Linked DNA regions of Anolis sagrei. The protein of the gene in region 1 purifies or fractionates together with the protein of each later gene. This does not show direct contact. Links are inferred from orthologs where the notes say so. Each region holds a gene or a part of one and is shown on either strand. Other genes may lie near its edges.

Region 1 (10,234 bases):
CCACTCCTCAACTTTTCCTTGCCCATCCCATTCTCTATCTCTCTCTACATATAACATTTTTATTTCCCATATTTATTTACTATACCGTACTATAACTTCCCAGCAGGCTTCCCACTGTCTCCAAAACCTTTGAGTGGGTTTCTTTCTCCCTTTTTGATCACCTACTCCTCAACTTTTCCTTCCCCATCCCATCCCATTCTCTCTCTCTCTATAACATTTTTATTTATCATATTTATTTACTATACCATATTTTAACTTCCCAGCAAGCTTCTCAGTCTCCAAAACCTTTAAATGGGTTTCTTTCTCCCTTTTTGGTCATCCACTCCTCAACCTGTCGTCCTTCCCCATCTCATCTTTATTTATTTCCCATATTTATTTACTATACCATACTATAACATCCCAGAAGGCTTCCCACTGTCTTTAAAACCTTCCAGTGGGTCCCCCCCCCCCACTTTTCAGTCACCCACTCCCCAACTTTTCCTTCCCCAATCCATACTGTAAGTATTTATTTACCATACCATACTATAACTTCCCTGCAGGCCTCCCACTGTCTCCAAAACCTTTCTGTGGGTTTCTTTCTCCCTTTTTGGTTACCCACTCTCCAACTTTTCCTTCCTCATACCTTACACTTTCTCTATACATATATATACATGCCATATTTATTTACCATACTGTACTATAACTTCCCAGGAGGCCTCCCACTGTCTCCAAAACCTTTCAGTGGATTTCTTTCTCCCTTTTTGGTTACCCACTCCACAACCTTTCCTTCCCCATCCCATACTCTCTCTCTCTATATATATATATACATACCATATTTATTTACCATACTATAACTTCCCTGCAGGCCTCCCACTGTCTCCAAAACCTTTCTGTGGGTTTCTTTCTCCCTTTTTGGTCACCCACTCCCCAACTTTTCCTTCCCCATCTCATACACACACACACACACTCTATATATACATACATACCATATTTATTTACCATACTATAACTTCCCTGGAGGCTTCCTACCGTCTCCAAAACCTTTCAGTGGGTTTCCTTCTCCCTTTTTGGTCACCCACTCTCCTACTTTTCCTTCCCCATCCCATCCCATCCTATACTTCTCTATTTACCATATTTATTTATTATACCAAACTATAACTTCCCAGCAGGGTTCCAACTATCTCCAAAACCTTTCAGTGGGTTTCTTTCTCCCTTTTTGGTCACCCACTCCCCAACTTTTCCTTCCCCATCCCTTTTGCACATGTTTCCTTCCCAATAGGTGAAACAAAAAAAAAGTCTTGACTTACCTAATTGAGTATCACAGCTACTTCTTCTAGAGAGGGAGCAGAGGAGTCACAATACAAAAAACAAAACAAAAGAGAAAGATGGGTAGATAGGTGGGTGGGAATCCAAGCAAAGCACGAGGAGTGTCTCTCTTTCTCTCTGTGTGTGTCTTAAAAAGAAAGGCCTGCCCAGCTTTCCTTCCCAAAGCCTCAGCTTCCCAACACACAACCTCACACCCGACACAAAAGAGAGGTGTCTCCTTCTGATTTCACGTGAGGCCCAGAAGTCTGGTTCCTTTTTTTCATTCAAAAAATAATTAAATTGTCACATACACACTTCTCTGTTTCTCTCAAACAAACAACGAGCCAAACCTACCAAAAAAAAAAAGAAGAGAAAAAAGATGGAGTAAAATAATAATAGGGCGACTCACACAAACTGGAGAGAAAAAATGCACATGGAAGTCAAGTCACTTTCCTAGCAAAGTTGCAAACACACCTACAACTTGGGCCAGGCCTTTGCCATTCATTCAAACAGATGTAACACCCTTATTTTCCCCAAATAAAACACAGGCAGAAAAATTGGGGTGTGTTTGAGGCCTATGTAGAGTTAGATCTCAAAGGGAGGAAAAAGCAAAGTCTCCACCCGTTTTCACTCTCCCGCTCTTTATGAAAAAAAGTGCAGAAAGGATGTTCCTGCTACACCTCTTTTTTCCTTCTCTCTCACACACCCCAATCTATGTGTATATATAACTATATTTTAAAAAATCAATCCACAATATCTTAGCCTCTCTTTCCAAAGCAATGCTGGAAGTTGAAAGCCAACCCTGGGGAAATGTTTGGGGCCTTTTGCAAACACACACACTGAAGAATACAGATATATAGAGCTATACAGATATATATTTCTTCAGAAAGCTGACTTCCCTGCCAACAACCCTACTAGCCTTTCTTTCCAAAGCAATGAAGTTGAAAGCCAACCTTGGGGAAAGGTTTGGGGCCTACAGCAAAAATGCACACTGGAGGATATATAGATAGATATTTCTTCAGGAAGCTGACTTCCCTGCCAACAACTCTATGGTTAAAATACTGGAAGTTGAAAGCCAACCTTGGGGAAAGGTCTGGGGCCTTTAGCAAACATACACACTGAAGGATATCAATCTACATATACATACATACACATAGATATATAGGTATTACTTCAGAAAGCTGACTTCCCTGCCTCTCTAATATCTATTTCTTCAGAAAACTCTTTGCAAAAACACACTGAAGGATAGATCTATAGATAGCTATATTCTTCAGAAATCTGCCAACAACCTTACTAGTATCTCAAAGCAATGCTGAAAGTTGAAAGTCAGCTTTGGGGGGAAAATGGGTCTTTAGCAAAAACACACTGAAGGATATATAGATCTATATTTCTTCAGAGAGCTGACTTCCTTGCCAACAACTCTATGGTTGAAATGCTTGGGGAAAGGCTTGGGGCCTATAGCAAACACATACACACTGAAGGATCTATCTATATGATATATATATATATATATATATCTTTAGAAAGCTCTGCAAAAAACACACTGAAGGATATATAGATATATTTTCAGAAAGCTGATTTTTCTGCTACTCTTATAGTTATATTTTCAGAAAGACTTTTGCAAAAACACACAGAAGGGTATGTATTTCTCCAGAAAGCTGACTTTTCTGCCTAACAGATACTTATATTTTCAGAAAACTCTTTGCAAAAACACACTGAAGGATATATATATATATATATATATATATATATATTTCTTCAGAAAGCTGACTTTTCTGCTTCTCTCTCTAATAGATACTTCTATTTTCAGAAAGCTTTTTGCAAAAACACACTGAAGGATATCTATAGATAGATATTTAGATATATATTTCTTCAGAAAGCTGACTTTTCTCCTTCTCTCTCTAATAAGATACTTATATTTTCAGAAAACTCTTTGCAAAAACACACTGAAGGATAGATAGTTCTCCAGAAAGCTGACTTTTCTCCTTCTCTCTAATAGATACTCATATTTTCAGAAAGTCTTTTGCAAAAACACACTGAAGAATATATATTTCTCCAGAAAGCTGACTTTTCTGCTTCTCTCTCTAATAGATGCTTATATTTTCAGAAAGCTCTTTGCAAAAACACACTGAATGATATATATTTCTCCAGAAAGCTGACTTTTCTGCTTCTCTCTCTAATATACTTATATTTTCAGAAAACCTTTTGCAAAAACACACTGAAGTATAGATATTTCTCTAGAAAGCTGACTTTTCTGCCTCTCTGATATCTATATTTTCAAAAAGCTCTTTGCAAAAACACACTGAAGGATAGATATTTCTCCAGAAAGCTGACTTTTCTGCCTCTCTCTTTCTTTCCAATAGATATCTGTTTCCCTCCAGAAAGCAGAAGCCACGCTGACCCCTGAAGCCCAACCTCTTCCTCAGAGAGGCCTGTGCAAACACACCCCAGTACTCCCCTCAACGAGGAGGAGGAGGTTGAGGTTTGTGAGGAAAAGAGGGAGAAAAACCCGCCCCAGAAAAAGAAACAACACACAACTCCCAGAAAGAGATCTGCTCACCTCAATTTTTTCCTCTTTTTGTGTGTGAGTGTGTGTGTGTATTTTCCCCCTTTCAGAGGGGAGAAGAAGAGGAGGAAGAACAAGAGTGTAAAATAGGAATCCCACCCCCAACCAGCACAAACTCTTTCCACCAACACACCCCTCTCTCTCACACACAGACACACATACACACCTTCCTCCCCTCAGTCCTCCTCCATGGCGCCTGCTGTTCCCCTCACAGGGAGATAGATACAAACACAACACACACCTGGCCTTGTTGTTGTTGTGGTAAACAACACACAACACACACACCTGGCCTTGTTGTTGTGGTGAACCCCCCTTCTCCTCTCCCTCTTCCTCCTCCTGCCAATCTTGCTTCTCTCTCTCACACACACACACGCCTCCTTCTTCTCCTCACTCACTCCCTCCTCTCATCCACTCTCTCCCTCCTTCTCTTTTCCTCCTTCTCCTTCTTCTTCCCCCGTGGCTTCGTGCTTCGCCTTCCGCTCTTTTCCCCTCAGCCCTCCCCCTCCTCCTCTTCTACTGCCACAGACTCGGAACCGGCTCAAACCGGTTCAGACTGGGAGATTCCATCTCGGTTTAGTTTTCAGCCCATGGCGCCTCGGCGGAGCGAGCGAGGCAGGCCGGCCCCGCCCCCCCGGAAACCGCCCCGCCGCCCCATTGGCTGCCCGCGCCGATGACGGGACAAGGGGAGGGCCAGGCACAGACGCCGCTCGCCATTGGACGGCCCGCACGCCCGTCTTCCTTCCCTCACTCCCTCCCGCCCGCCTCCGATAGCGTCTTCTCATTGGCTGGCTGGTCTGCCCGTCTTGGATGCGTTCCTTCCCCTCTATATTAATCCCCAGCATTGTTAACCCCGCCTCTCTCTTTCTAACGTTCTATCATTGGCTGGCTGGTCTGCCCGTCTTGGATCTTTCCCTCCCCTCTCTACTAATCCCCAACATAGTTAACCCCGCCTCTCTCTTTCTAACGTTCTATTATTGGCTGGAAGGCCTGCCCGTCTTAGATCTGTCACTCCCCTCTCCCTGCTCGTCTTGGATGCTTTCCCTCCTCTCTCCCCTCTCCCCTCTATATTAATCCCTAACATTGTTAACCCCGCCTCTCTCTTTCTAGCGTTCTATCATTGGCTGGCTGGCCTGCCCGTCTTGGATGGTTTCCCTCCCCTCTCTACTAATGCCTAACATTGTTAACCCCGCCTCTCTCTTTCTAACGTTCTAGCATTGGGTGGCTGGCCTGCCCGTCTTGGATCTTTCACTCCCCTCTCTATTACTCCCCAACATTGTTAGCCCCGCCTCTCTCTTTCTAGTGTTCTATCATTGGCTGGCCGGCCTGCCCGTCTTAGATCTGTCACTCCCCTCTCCCTGCTCGTCTTTGATGCTTTCCCTCCCCTCTATATTAATCCCCACCATAGTTAACCCCGCCTCTCTCTTTCTAACGTTCTAGCATTGGCTGGCTGGTCTGCCCGTCTTATATCTTTCACTCCCCTCTGTATTAATCCCTAACATAGTTAACCCCGCCTCTCTCTTTCTAACGTTCTATCATTGGCTGGCTGGCTTGCCTGTCTTTGATGCTTTCCCTCCCCTCTGTATTCATCCTTAACATTGTTAACCCCGCCTCTCTCTTCCTAGTGTTCTATCATTGGCTGGCTGGCTTGCCTGTCTTGGATGCTTTCCCTCCCCTCTGTATTCATCCTTAACATTGTTAACCCCGCCTCTCTCTTTCTAGTGTTCTATCATTGGCTGGCTGGCTTGCCTGTCTTATCCCTTTCACGCCCGTCTTGGATACTTTCCCTCCCCTCTGTATTAATCCCCAACATTGTAAACCCCGCCTCTCTCTTTCTAACGTTCTATCATTGGTTGGCCTGCCTGCCCGTCTTGGATCTGTCACTCCCCTCTCTATTAATCCCTAACATTGTTAACCCCGCCCCTGCTCGTCTTGGATGCTTTCCCTCTCTATTAATCCCTAACATTGTTAACCCCGCCTCTCTCTTTCTAGTGTTCTATCATTGGCTGGCTGGCCTGCCCGTCTTAGATCTTTCACTCCCCTCTCTATTAATCCCTAACATTGTTAACCCCGCCTCTCTTTCTTTAGCAGTCTCTCATTGGCTGGCTGGCCTGCCCGTCTTGGATGCTTTCCCTCCCCTCTCTAGTAATATCTAACATTGTTAACCCCGCCTCTCTTTCTCTAGCGGTCTATCATTGGCTGGCCGGCCTGCCCGTCTTGGATCTGTCACTCCCCTCTCTATTAATCCCTAACATTGTTAACCCCGAGACATCTCCAGCTCATCCCCTGTTTGGGTATCAGCCAGCACGCCAACGGCTTAAATCCAGACATAGTTTTCTAAGATCTACAGAGACACTCGCTGGAACACCTCAGCAAGCGAGAGTCCAAAAGTGGCAGGCTCAAACCCAGAATCTCAACCAATGGCTGATACCAAATGAGAAACTCCTCCCTGGGCACACAGAGGACCGGGCGACTTGGAAGGTGCTGAACAGACTGCGCTCTGGCACCACGAGATGCAGAGCCAACCTTCAGAAATGGGGCCACAAAGTGGAGTCCACGACATGCGAGTGTGGAGAGGAGCAAACCACTGACCACCTGCTGCAGTGCAACCTGAGCCCAGCCACATGCTCAATGGAGGACCTTCTTGCAGCAACACCAGAGGCACTCCAAGTGGCCAGATACTGGTCAAAGGACATTTAATCAACTACCAAACTCACACATTTTGTATTTTCTCTGTTTGTTTGCTTTGTTCTGTTAGAAATGTAATATAATTGACTGGCTGCCCTGACACGAGAAATAAAAAATAAACCCCCGACAGATGGCCATCCAGCCTCTGTTTAAGAGCTTCCAAAGAAGGAGCCTCCACCACACTCCGGGGCAGAGAGTTCCACTGCTGAACAGTTCTCACAGTCAGAGAGTTCTTCCTCATGCTCAGATGGAATCTCCTTTCTTGTAGTTTGAAGGCATTGTTCCATTGCGTCCTAGTCTCCAAGGAAGCAGAAAACAAGCTTGCTCCTTCCTCCCTGTGGCTTCCTCTCACATATTCATACATGGCTATCATATCTCCTCTCAGCCTTCTCTTCTTCAGGCTAAAGATGCCCAGCTCCTTAAGCCGCTCCTCATAGGGCTTGTTCTATCTTTCACTCCCCTCTCTATTACTATCTAACATTGTTTACCCTGCCTCTCTTTCTCTAGCGGGTTTGCCTGTCTGGGATGCTTTCACTCCCCTCTGTATTAATCCCTAACATTGTTAACCCCGCCTCTCTTTCTCTAGCGGTCTATCATTGGCTGGCTTGCCTGTCCGTCTTGGATGCATTCCCTCCCCTCTCTATTAATCCCTAACATTGTTAACCCCGCCTCTCTTTTTTCTAGCGTTCTATCATTGGCTGGCCGGCCTGCCCGTCTTGCTCTTTTACCCGCCTCTCCAACGAGCGCGCTAATTATTAACCACGCCCCTTTTTTTCTAGCGGTCTATCATTGGCTGGCCGCCCTGCCCGTCTTCCTTTTTTACCCGCCTCTCTATTCATTCTATGCTTTCGCGCCCTTCTCCACCGAGCGCGCCTAGATTGTAAACCCCGCCCCTTTTTTCTAGCTGTCTATCATTGGCTGGCTGGCCGGTCCATCTTGCTCTTTGACCCGCCTCCCTATTAATTGTATGCTTTGACGCCCTTCTCCACCGAGCGCGCTCAAATTGTTAACCCCGCCCCTCTTTTTTTCTATTGGTTGATCGGCCTGCCCGTCTTGGTTGCTTTCACACCCCTCTCCATTGATCGCGAAGATTGTAAACCCCGCCCCTCTTTTTTCTACAGGTCTATTATTGGCTGACTGGCCTGCCCGTCTTTTCCCGCCTCTCTATTAAACCCTCCTCTCCGCCGAGCGCGCCGAGGTTGTAAACCCCGCCCATTTTTAATACCGGTTTATCATTGGCTGGCTGACCTGCCCGTCTTACTCTTTTTCCCGCCTCTTCATTAACTGTATGCTGTCACTCCCTTCTCCACTGAGCGCGCCAGGATTGTAAAACCCGCCCCTTTCTAATACAGATCTATCATTGGCTGAACGGCCTGTCCGTTTTGCTTTTTTCCCCCCTCTCTACCCAGCGCGCGGGGATTGTTGGCTCCTCCCCTTTATTTCTAAGAGAAAGACAAGGGAGGGGGTGGCAAAGCGAGGGAGTTGGAAGGGCCCCGCTTGATTGGCTCGCCCCCGCTGTCTGTCTTCCATGTAGTCCCGCCCCTTCTGTAGCGCTTGCCTCAAATAGCATAATCTCGCGGGCGAAGTGGCGGTCCTCGTGCCTGTGCTCTGATTGGCTGGCAACTTTCAATGACGTCATTGGCAGGAAAAAAGAGGGGAAGGAAAGAAAAAGGAAGGAAAAGGAAGGAACTTATGAATTATAAATTATTTTTATTTTATTATTATTGCGTATATTATTATATAATAATATAATATATAATAATATATATATTATTATATTAAGTTATATATAAATATAAATATTATTATCTAATAATATATATTATTATATTAAATTATATATAAATATAGATTATAAAATAGATCTATAATTTTTGTGCATTGGCATAATCATATTAATACTAATATTCTTCTGTGCTAATAATATAGTGTAAACACATATAATATTGAAAATATAATGTAATATAATATAATATAATACTAATAATAATACAATAGAATAATTTTATATTTCATATTAAAAGTACAATATAGTAATATATAATATATAATATTATGATATGCTAATAATATAATATATTTTATGTATATTGTATTATTATCTAGACTGGGTTGTGGCGCAGCTAATTAGTAGCCAGCTGCATTAAATCACTACTGACTGAGAAGTCATGTGTTCGAAGCCAGCCTGGATCAGAGTGAGCTCCCAACCATTGATAGTCTAGCTTGCTGTCGACCTATGCAGCCTGAATGACAGTTGTAGGAAATGTAGGTATTGCTTTATGCGGGGATGCTAATTTAACTAATTTATGACACCATAAAACCTTCCAGCAGTGTACGCAAGAATGAAGAAGTACAAGGATTCGGTAGGAAATGTAGGTATTGCTTTATGCGGGGATGCTAATTTAACTAATTTATGACACCATAAAACCTTCCAGCAGTGTACGCAAGAATGAAGAAGTACAAGGATTCGGTGTCACAAGTGGACGGTTTTATTTATTTATCATGTCATCCGCAACCAGAACATTGTATTACATTTCTAACAGAACAAAACAAACAAACAGATAAAAAAACAAAACACAAATTTTGCAAACTTGGTAGCTGATTAAATGTCCTTTGAACAGTATCTGGCCACTTGGAGTGCCTCTGGTGTTGCCACAAGAAGGTCCTCCATTGTGCATGTAGCAGGGCTCAGGGTGCATTGCAGCAGGTGGTCAGTGGTTTGCTCTTCTCCACACTCGCATGTAGCCCCATTTCTTAAGATTGGCTCTGCATCTCGTGGTGCCAGAGCTCAGTCTGTTCAGCCCCTTCCAAGTCGCCCAGTCTTCTGTGTGCCCAGTGGGGAGTCTCTTATTTGGTATCACCCACGGATTGAGGTGCTGGGTTTGAGCCTGCCAGTTTTGAACTCTCGCTTGCTGAGGTGTTCCAGCAAGTGTCTCTGTAGATCTAAGAAAACTATGTCTTGATTTAAGTCGTTGATTTAAGTGGACGGTGAAGCAGCAGCTCTCCCTGTGGCCGGAATCGAGCATACCTGTTGAGGTTCAGCCTGCTCTATGTGAACCTGAGCCCCAATCTCTGTGTGAACCTGATTCTCTGATTGTATTTCCAACTGAGCAAGCCACTGAACATGTATCTCTCCCTGATAGTGTTGAAACTGTTGTTGATGCTGAGGTCAGTGGCGAGGAAAGTGAAACTGAACAGCCTGATGAAAATGTTTTGGAATCCAGCCGTGAAAGCTCTCCAGGGGAAATCACACCTGGGTTTTTTTTAATGAGGACCGAAGGGAACAGATAGCTAGAAACAGGAGTGATTCACAGTTTCTACGAAGGTCAAATAGATTACAGAAGAGACAGGCCCAGGCTTCAAAGTCAAGGGGCGTTTCAAGGAATAGTTTCTTTGGCTTAAGGGGCCTCCTTCCGGGTGTCTCGTTAGATCAAGCAACGTTTGGGACTGAGGCTGTGCCTTGGCAGAATTCCTGTGTTCCATGGCCGGTAATCCCAGAGGCTTCTAGTTTTCAAGTACATAGTTAGTGAGATGCTAACAGGTTCCCGGTTTTTATATTCTGGTTTTTGAGATTTTGCTCAAGCTCAGAGATTTTCCTGACTGCTGTGTTTCTATGGTGGCTCTTTGACTTTGCATTTGCCTTTCTTTTGTAACCAATTTTTCCTCAATAAAAAAGGATTGTTTTTCCTACAGTCCAGT
Region 2 (9,932 bases), on another chromosome or scaffold:
ATATGGGTATCATACTGTCTTACCTAACTTAAAATTCCATTTTGTAACAGATTCTTGCCACAGTCGAAACCAGCCACACAAGTTTGCATTCACTATTAAAATCATAACAAGAAGTCACATCGCAATTGAATCAAGGTAATAATAAATGACAATTTGAAGCATAAAGAGAATATTCCTGCTACAAATTGTTGTTTAAAATCCAAAGCTGTAAAATTCAATGATTTTACGCTGCATTAATTTTTAATACAATATTCAATTGGCTTTCTCATTTTTTTCCCTTTTCTTCTGCCAGACAGCTTTTGATTATTTTGCAAGCAAGAGTGCTTTTAGAGAAATGCTCCACAGACAACTATGGTTTCTTTTTAAAATATTTTTTAGTCCAATGTAAAAATATTTTATTAGTTTTGTTTTTTTTAAAGGAAATTCAAGTGTTATGGGGAATTATTCCATACGGGAAGATGGGTTTGCTTCAGACATTCTTATGTTAATTGTATGCCCTTGGATTACCTGCCTGTCTGTCCTACTTGAATAAACCATGTCACCTTATTTTAAAACTCAGTAAAATGCTCTTATTTGGTTACCAATTGACCTGTAGAAATCCTCTGTAGAATGCTTCGTGAAAGAACCATCTTCTAGAACTCCAGGGGACAAAAGAAACATGATGTCATGTAATTTGGCTATGCTGTTTCTGGGTTTCAGAAACTAAATTGCTGGTGTGCAAAGAGGAACTCTGAGACAAATTCAGATGAGGACCACAGCAGTGGGGAAGGAAGAAAAAAGCCATTTACCCCTGCAGTAGCCTCAATTAGAGTTGGGGGAAAGGATGTATAGTTACCATTAGTGCCAATAAGATCTTTCCTTCTATTAGAAACAGCAATGTTCAATGTTCTATGTTTTATGTTTTGTCTCTGTCCTATGTTTTGTGGTTTATTGGTTTTAATCTATTGTTATATGCTACTTTACTTATGTGATGTATTTTTTATGTGAGTCATTGAATTTTGCCAATTGCTTTGCCGTGAACCGCTTTGAGGGTGTGAGAAGTGGTATATAAATGAAATAAATAAATAAATAATTCTGATTATGCCTAAAAGAAAGGCAGCAGGTTAAAGAAGAGGTGGACGAAGTTCAGGCCATGAGGCACATGTGGCCTCCAATACCATTTTTAATATCCCAGATAGCTCCTGAAAGTTATAAATGGCCATTGGTGATATTGTTATGTATTGAGCACTAACCACAGTTGCTTAGTTCGTCATTTGAACATAGAAAATGTTTTCCTTTCTGTTTTTGATTAAATTTGAGCAAATTTCATCATATCAACTTTTAAATAAAAATATAGACAACTACTGATTTATGATATGCATGGTCACTATACATTTGCATTTGATCTCAATAGGAAACCTTTTTACAAGGTACATGTTCTTTCAAAGGATGATTAATAGAAAACAAGTTTTATGTTTTATGTGCATGCATATGAAGTACCTAAAGTAAGTGTAGACAAAGTAATTGTATGTAATCAGTATACATTTGCATTTACACATTTGCTGCTTCTGATTTCTTTCTGGTGAACAGTTACACTACAGATGATGCCTCACAAGAGAAAAGAAAAACAAAAAATACTGTAGGCAAAGAAAGCAACTGCCTTAATTTTATTTTAATTATGAACCAGAAGACCATGTTTCAAGCATGCCATGGAAATATACTGAGGGAATGCAAAATGGAAAAAATAAGCGTCCCATGGGAATTCATGAAGAACTGTACATTAATGAAATAATACAGACCTTCAAAATATTTAGTAATAAATATGTCATAAAGATTCTTGTATTCAAATTCACTTGCTGATGCTGTCACATACAAGTTCTTAAAGCCGCTTTGAATCTCCCAGTGGAGAGAAAAAAACAGAATGTTAATAAACATCATCATAATAACAACTCATAACCATTAGGAAAAAGCTGGAGACATAAATATTGTCCATTTATTATGAAGTTCCCTAGAATTGCATGAGTACATACACACTGTTCATAACTTGAGCACAAATGTACACATCTTGGCAATGTCTCTTTCTTACCAATGTAGGCAGCTGCCACTGGGTGTTGTTTTTCCACATGGGAAATAATGTTTGTATTTGGATTTATAAAATGAATTGCCTGAAAAATAGACAAATATACTACAAAGATTTATAGATGCAGTTAGTTTCATCAATAATTGGTTAGAAATTGATAATTCATGCATCACATAATACCAGTTCCACATAATTCCAGAGTTTCTAGATGTCTCACATGTAGTACAGTGGCTCACCATTTCCGTATAGCAGTGGATTGCAACTGAACTTTTGAAATGAATAACATTTCTTCTTCAGTCAAGTGTAAATGACAGATACCACCACAGAACAAGGAAGTAAACAGATTAAAGAAATAAATTAAAAATCCAATAGTCTTGTTTTTGACTAAGCAATTATCTGGACAGCTGGCCCCAGTTAGGACCCAAAAATCTTGTCATTAAGCATTTTACTATTGTTATATCCAAATATTTAATGATAAATCGTTCTTATCCTATCGTTGCTATATGATATATGCACTTTATTCACTAGTTCTATCCTCTATTGTTGTTGCACTAGTCCGCCCACCCATGACGAGACACTGAATTAAGTTACTATTATTTTATTATTTGTGCAGTAGAACATTCTCGATAATCCATTTCTTATGTTCAGGATAATATGGGTATAAGAAAGTCCCTTCAGTGTTATAAAAGTTATACTATGGGCTCAATTTTTGTTGAGCTAAATGTTTGCTAGTGTGTATAATATATCTCTTATAGACAACATATCTGAAATGGCAGAATACTATGCTGGAGAGCTAATGACCCGGACATGTTTGTTGTCTTTTGTATATAAAAATTGACTCACTATTTGGAAAAGTGATTGTTTGAGAGCTTTCTAGAATGCAGGTATTTTGTATGAAATGGGTGTATGGTCTCGATCCTTGCAGAACTTTTGAGGCTTGTTCCATCCCTCTTCGTTAGTTTTGTGTGGCTGGATAATTTGGTGCACATGGTTTCTGGTCAGTGGATATTTATTTAATTGCTGTACATATCCTTTTTTCCCCAGCAGGAGGCAGAAAATGACTAAAAATGTTTAACAAAAACATAGCTAACATTTCAATGTTAAATTGTTGCTCTCATATACACCCATCATATCCTGTGGCATGTAACTATCTCATAAATGGCCATTCTAGCTTTTCCGTAACCCCCAACTTCTGTTTCACTTTTAGCTACAAAAAGGTCAACAATACAATATAAAAACATCATACAATAATAACAAGTTAAAAATACATATAGATTAGATTTACTGATAATTCAAATCGCCAGGATAAAATCATGTCCAATTCAGTCCATGTGTGTGATCGAGAACTCTGTTCTGTAGCCGGTCTCAACCATTACTCTGGGAATGCTTCCTTCCATAGCCAGGATTTCACCAGCCTCCTGAAGGACAGGAGGGAGGGGGCAGATCTGATCTCAATCGGGAGAGAGTTCCATAGCTGAGGGGCCACTACAGAAAAGGCCCTGTCTCTCGTCCCCACCAGACGCGATTGCGAAAATGGCGGGATCGAGAGCAGGGCCCCACCTGAAGATCTCAACTGTCTTGATGGTTCATAGGGGAGAATAAGTTCGGACAGGTAAACTGGGCCGGAACCGTATAGGGTTTTGTAGGTTAAGACCAGCACTTTGAATTGTGCTCGGAAGCTAATTGGCAGCCAGTGGAGTTGTGCGCTCCCTGTACTCCGCTCCCATTAGTAATCTGGCTGCCGAACGTTGGACGTCTCATCAATAGAATCAGCATTCAATCTAGTTGTCCATTAATCCATATTCCAATAATCAATCAATTGTACCGCTTAGTTGAAAGCCTGTTCGAAGAGCCAGGTCTTCACTCTCTTCCTGAATTCCAATAAGGAGGCGGCCGATCTAATGTCTGTAGGAAGGGCGTTCCACAGCCGGGGGGCCACTACTGAGAAGGCCCTGTCTCTCGTCCCCGCCAGGCGTGCTTGTGAAATCGGCGGGACCGAGAGCAGGGCCTCCCCAGACGATCTTAACATCCTAACTGGTTCATAGGAGGAGATGCATTCGGACAGATAGGTCGGGCCAGAACCGTTTAGGGCTTTAAAGGCTAAAGCCAGCACTTTGAATTGTGCCCGGTAGCAAATTGGCAGCCAGTGGAGCTGGCGCAACAGAGGAGTAGTATGCTCCCTGAGTGCCACTCCTGTTAGCATCCTGGCTGCCGCTCGTTGGACCAATTGAAGCTTCTGAGCAGTCTTCAGAGGCAACCCCACGTAGAGAGCGTTGCAGTAGTCTATACGGGATGTAACCAAAGCGTGGACTACCGTGGCCAAGTCAGACTTCCCAAGGTACGGGCATAGCTGGCGCACAAGCTTTAATTGTGCAAAAGCTTTCCTGGACACTGCCGAGACCTGGGGTTCCAGGCTCAGCGATGAGTCCAGGATCACTCCCAAGCTGCGCCTTCAGGGGGAGTGTAACCCCGTCAAGCACAGGCTGTAACCCTATGCCCTGTTCAGCCTTACGGCTAACCAGGAGTACCTCTGTCTTGTCTGGATTTAGTTTCAATTTGTTCACCTTCATCCAGTCTGTTACAGCGGCCAAGCACCGGTTCAGGACTTGAACAGCCTCCTTAGTAGCAGGTGAGAAGGAGTGACAGAGTTGAACATCATCTGCGTACAGGTATATGCTATATACTTTCATGTGCCTGAAAATAAATCTATCTGATGTAAAGTACCAATCTTTTCTGTACTTGCAATTCACAAAGCATCCCATATAAGACTGTATTTATATTCTACCCTTATTTATATTCTGCCTTATCTATATGGATAGACCAATTAAGACAGGCATGGGGCAAACTTGGGCCTTCCCTCCAGGTGTTTTGGACTTCAACTCCCACAATTCCTAACAGCCTACCGGCTGTTAGGAATTGTGGGAGTTGAAGTCCAAAACACCTGGAGGGAAGGCCCAAGTTTGCCCCATACCTGATATATATAACAACAGAGAATGTGCGGCCTATATATATGCCCTGAAGCCTGAAAGCCTATAGACCCTTAAAATGGCCCAAAAAAGAAAGAAAATCACATGTATGTCCAATGTTCTTGGTCCTCCTTGAATTCTCTAAGCACTTTCAGTCCAAGAACCAATGAAAACTTCTGCTTTGAGGGTTTACTCCAGCACCCAACTAACTCACCACTCCGAAGCGAATCTGAAAAGTTCTGCTTGAGTCTCGCGAGAGCTGCCTCCGGGAGGGATGTAACGTCTCGCGAGAGCACGCAAGGCAGCCACTAAAGTCCATGCAAATCTCGCGAGGCTGACGTTCACCGGCGGAGACCGGAAGAGAAGGGGAAGCGTGGCAGCCGCGTGAGCTTCCTAGGCAGAGAGCAGCTTCTCCGCTTCGGCTACGTAAGAATCTCACACTTACTTGGGATTTCAAGCCTTCCTTGCAAAATGGGGCAGCTCCAACAATACGCTGCATAGGTTCTTGTGGGCTTTCTCGGGCTATATGGCCATGTTCTAGAGGCATTTCTCCTGACGTTCCGCCTGCATCTATGGCAAGCATCCTCAGAGGTAGTGAGGTCTGTTGGAAATAGGACAATGGGTTTATATATCTGTGGAATGCCTGGGGTGGGGCAAGGAGCTCTTCCCTGCTGGAGCTAGGTGTGAATGTTTCAGCTGATCACCTTCATTAGCATTTGAAGGCCTGGCTGAGCCTGGGAAAATACCCTGTTGAGAGGTGTTAATCTGTGCCTGGCTGTTTCCTCTCTGTTGTTTTGCTGTTGTAATTTTAGAGTTTTTTAATACTGGCAGCCAGATTTTGTTCATTTTCATGGTCTCTTCCTTTCTGTTGAAATTGCCCACATGCTTGTGGGCTCTCCAGGCCAATGGATACTCCACCTCAGACATCAGAAGAGCTGCAAGACCAAGAACAAGCCACGAGAGTCAAGATGAAGATCCACCCAGAAGAAAAGTGTTCCTGCCATACATCAAGAGAACCACTGACCGCATAGGGAAGCTGATGAGGAAACACAACATACAAACAATCTACAAACCCACCAAGAAAATCCAACAAATGCTACGTTCAGCAAAGGACAAGAGGGATCCTCTCACCTCTGCAGGAGTCTACTGTATACCATGCAGCTGTGGACAAGTCTACATAGGGACCACCAAACGCAGCGCCCAGACACGCATCAAGGAACATGAAAGGCACTGCAGACTACTTCAACCAGAGAAGTCAGCCATAGCAGAGCACCTGATGAACCAGCCTGGACACAGCATATTATTTGAGAACACAGAAATGCTAGACCACACCAACAACCACCATGTCAGACTACACAGAGAAGCCATTGAAATCCACAAGCATGTGGACAATTTCAACAGAAAGGAAGAAACCATGAAAATGAACAAAATCTGGCTACCAGTATTAAAAAACTCTAAAATTACAACAGCAAAACAGCAGAGAGGAAACAACCAGGCACATCTTAACACCTCTCAACAGGGTATTTTCCCAGGCTCAGCCAAGCCTTCAAATGCTAATGAAGGTGATCAGCTGAAACATTCACACCTAGCTCCAGCAGGGAAGAGCTCCTTGCCCCACCCCAGCCATTCCACAGATATATAAACCCATTGTCCTAATTCCAACAGACCTCACTACCTCTGAGGATGCTTGTCATAGATGCAGGCGAAACGTCAGGAGAAATGCCTCTAGAACATGGCCATATAGCCCGAGAAAGCCCACAATAACCTAGTTTGATACCGCTTTAATGGCTCGGGTCTATTGGATTCAGGGAGTTGTCGTTTTGTGAGGCATTTAGACTTTGTGGGACTACAAATTCTAGTATTCCATAGCATTGGGCCAAAGCTGGTGTCAAACTGCAATATCTCTGCAAACAAAATACACAATAAAGATACAAATGCATAATAAAGTAAATAATTAATACAAACAATGTATCGTAACTAAATATGATTGTTGTTGTTCATTCGTTCAGTCGCCTCCGACTCTTCGTGACCTCATGGACCAGCCCACGCCAGAGCTCCCTGTCGGCCGTCACCACCCCCAGCTCCTTCAAGGTCAGTCCAGTCACTTCAAGGATGCCATCCATCCATCTTGCCCTTGATCAGCCCCTCTTCCTTTTGCCTTCCACTTTCCCCAGCATAATTGTCTTCTCTAGGCTTTGCTGTCTCCTCATGATGTGGCCAAAGTACTTCAACTTTGTCTCTAGTATCCTTCCCTCCAGTGAGCAGTCGGGCTTTATTTCCTGGAGGATGGACTGGTTGGATCTTCTCGCAGTCCAAGGCACTCTCAGCACTTTCCTCCAACACCACAGTTCAAAAGCATCTATCTTCCTTTGCTCGGCCTTCCCTAAGGTCCAACTCTCACATCCGTAGGTTACTACAGGGAATACCATGGCTTTGAGTAGGCGGATCTTTGTTGCCAGTCTGATGTCTCTACTCTTTACTATTTTATCGAGACTGGACATTGCTCTCCTCCCAAGAAGTAAGCGTCTTCTGATTTCCTGGCCACAGTCTGCATCTGCAGTAATCTTTGCACCTAGAAATACAAATACAAATTAAAACATGCTGCAGAACTAGAGCAGCCTAACACCACTTTTAACTGCAGTGCAGATGCACCCTCTTGTGAGAGAGCTCTGATGCTACAGCAGACTACAAGTCCCAGAACTCTCTAGCAGGTAAACGTAGTGTTAGGCTGCTCCACTTCTGCAGCATTCTTTATTGATTGCTATCATGTTTAGTTATGATACCTTGTTTGTATTAATTATTTAATTTACAGTGCATTTGTGTCTTTATTGTGTGTTTTGTTGTAAGCCGCTCTGAGCTTACTTCTTGGGAGGAGAGCAATGACCAATCTCAATAAAATAGTGAAGAGTAGAGACATCGAAGATCAACATAGTTAAAGCAAAGGAAATCAGGAGACGCTTACTTCTTGGGAGGAGAGCAATATACAATGACCAATCTCAATAAAATAGTGAAGAGTAGAGACATCACACTGGCAACAAAGATTCGCATAGTTAAAGCAATGGTATTCCCCATGGTCACCAACGGATGTGAGAGCTGGACCATAAGGAAGGCTGAGCGAAGGAAGATAGATGCTTTTGAACTGTGGTGTTGGAGGAAAGTTCTGAGAGTGCCTTGGACCACAAGAAGATCCAACCAGTCCATACTTCAGGAAATAAAGCCCGACTGCTCATTGAAGGGAAGGATACTAGAGGCAAAGATGAAGTACTTTGGCCACATCATGAAGAGACAGGAAAGCTTAGAGAAGACAATTATGCTGGAGAAAATGGAAGGAAAAGGAAGAGGGGCCGAGCAAGGGCAAGATGGATGGTATCCTTGAAGTGACTGGCTTGACTATGAAGGAGCTGGGGGTGGCTACAGCCGACAGGGAGCTCTGGTGTAGGCTGGTCCATGAAGTCACGAAGAGTCAGAAGCGACTGAATGAATAAACAACAACAGCCATCCCCAGCTCCTTCATGGTCAAGCCAGTCACTTCAGGGATACCATCCATCCATTCATCTTGCCCTTGCTCGGCCTCTCTTCCTTTTTCCTTCCATTTTCCCCAGCATCATTCTCTTCTCCAAGCTTTCCTGTCTTCTCATTATGTGGCCAAAGTACTTAATCTTTGTTGTTGTTTATTCGACAAAGGAAGAGGGGCCGACCAAGGGCAAGGTGGATGGGTGGTATCCCTGAAGTGACTGGCTTGACCTTGAAGGAGCTGGGAGTGGTGACGGCTGACAGGGAGCTCTGGCGTGGGCTGGTCCGTGAGGTCACGAAGAGTCGGAAGCGACTCAACGAATAAACAACAAAGCTCCGAGTCACAAAGGGAGATGGGACGGGATATAAATAAAGGTGACTTGACTTGACATGTTTTCACGCTGCACCTCTCGAAATACCTTATGGTTGATCTCAGCCCCTGAAGCATTTCAATCTTTGAATAATGCACAACTTTGCTCTCTTTTTCATACCTGGCTGTCTTGTGGTTTTATTTCTTCCTGCATTATCTACATGCCAAAAGGGTTTCCTCCAGCATTGAATTTTTTTCCTCCTTTTTAGCTTGGAAGTTGCATGTGGAACGAGAATGGAATACATGAAAGAACCTGCTACTGTCAGCCAGGGAAATATGTAAGTAACAGTTTCCATGAGCCCCAACCAGAATGCATTGAAATTGAGTTTTCAGTGATAGAATAGACTTTGTATTTATGCATGCAAATGTACAAAATTCTTCGTCTTCTTAGAAATGAGAAAGTTCATGGTAGGTAGTGGTCATTATTCACCCTGAGGAGCATTAAGTTGCTGAAAACATATCCTCAATTGACTCGGCAGAGATCTAAAGATTGGAATTTCAAGTTAAGCTCCAGAATGTCAAAACTATTAATGATAGCATTGTGTGTGTAAACAAACATTGTGTATGGACTGGATGGCCCTTGTTTCTCTTCAAACACTTATCATTCCATTGAATAGGCTGAGATTTTGTTCAACACCAACAAAGCACCAAGAAATCTCACCCTATTTACACTGAAATCCATTGTACAAGTAGCTTGGCCTAACTTTGTGTTCAGTGGGTGAAAATAGCCATCCTTTCCTACTTTCTATTGAAACCATGTAATTACATTATGGATTGTAATTTTTAAAATATATATATATATTATTCTAGCCTGTGCTGCGAGTGTGGAATCCCAATCCCACCAAACCCAGCCAACATGTGTGTATCGTGTCTACGCACAAAGGTGGACATCACTGAAGGAATCCCGAAACAAATTACTGTTCATTTCTGCAAACAGTGTGAAAGGTATAACCCATATTCAAGATCTTAAAACATAGCATAATAGTACTGAGTTTAGTTGTTGTTTTTTTGTTTGCATTCTTTT

The links.
Region 2: the proteins of XPO1 (region 1) and NMD3 purify together in Homo sapiens (affinity purification with western blotting; 3 studies listed by BioGRID and IntAct, with this or other methods). This does not show direct contact. The link is inferred for Anolis sagrei from reciprocal best matches to the Homo sapiens genes XPO1 and NMD3.

What each region holds. Positions count from the first base shown.
Region 1 is NC_090021.1:12,218,343-12,228,576, reverse strand, and holds the start of XPO1 (exportin-1), read right to left. Parts: upstream 4,488-10,234; 5' UTR 3,845-4,487; intron 1,635-3,844; exon of another isoform or gene 1,287-1,634; intron 1-1,286. UniProt on the Homo sapiens protein: Mediates the nuclear export of cellular proteins (cargos) bearing a leucine-rich nuclear export signal (NES) and of RNAs.
Region 2 is NC_090023.1:247,183,818-247,193,749, reverse strand, and holds the start of NMD3 (60S ribosomal export protein NMD3), read left to right. Parts: upstream 1-5,354; 5' UTR 5,355-5,451; intron 5,452-9,117; 5' UTR 9,118-9,142; coding exon 9,143-9,186; intron 9,187-9,718; coding exon 9,719-9,853; intron 9,854-9,932. UniProt on the Homo sapiens protein: Acts as an adapter for the XPO1/CRM1-mediated export of the 60S ribosomal subunit.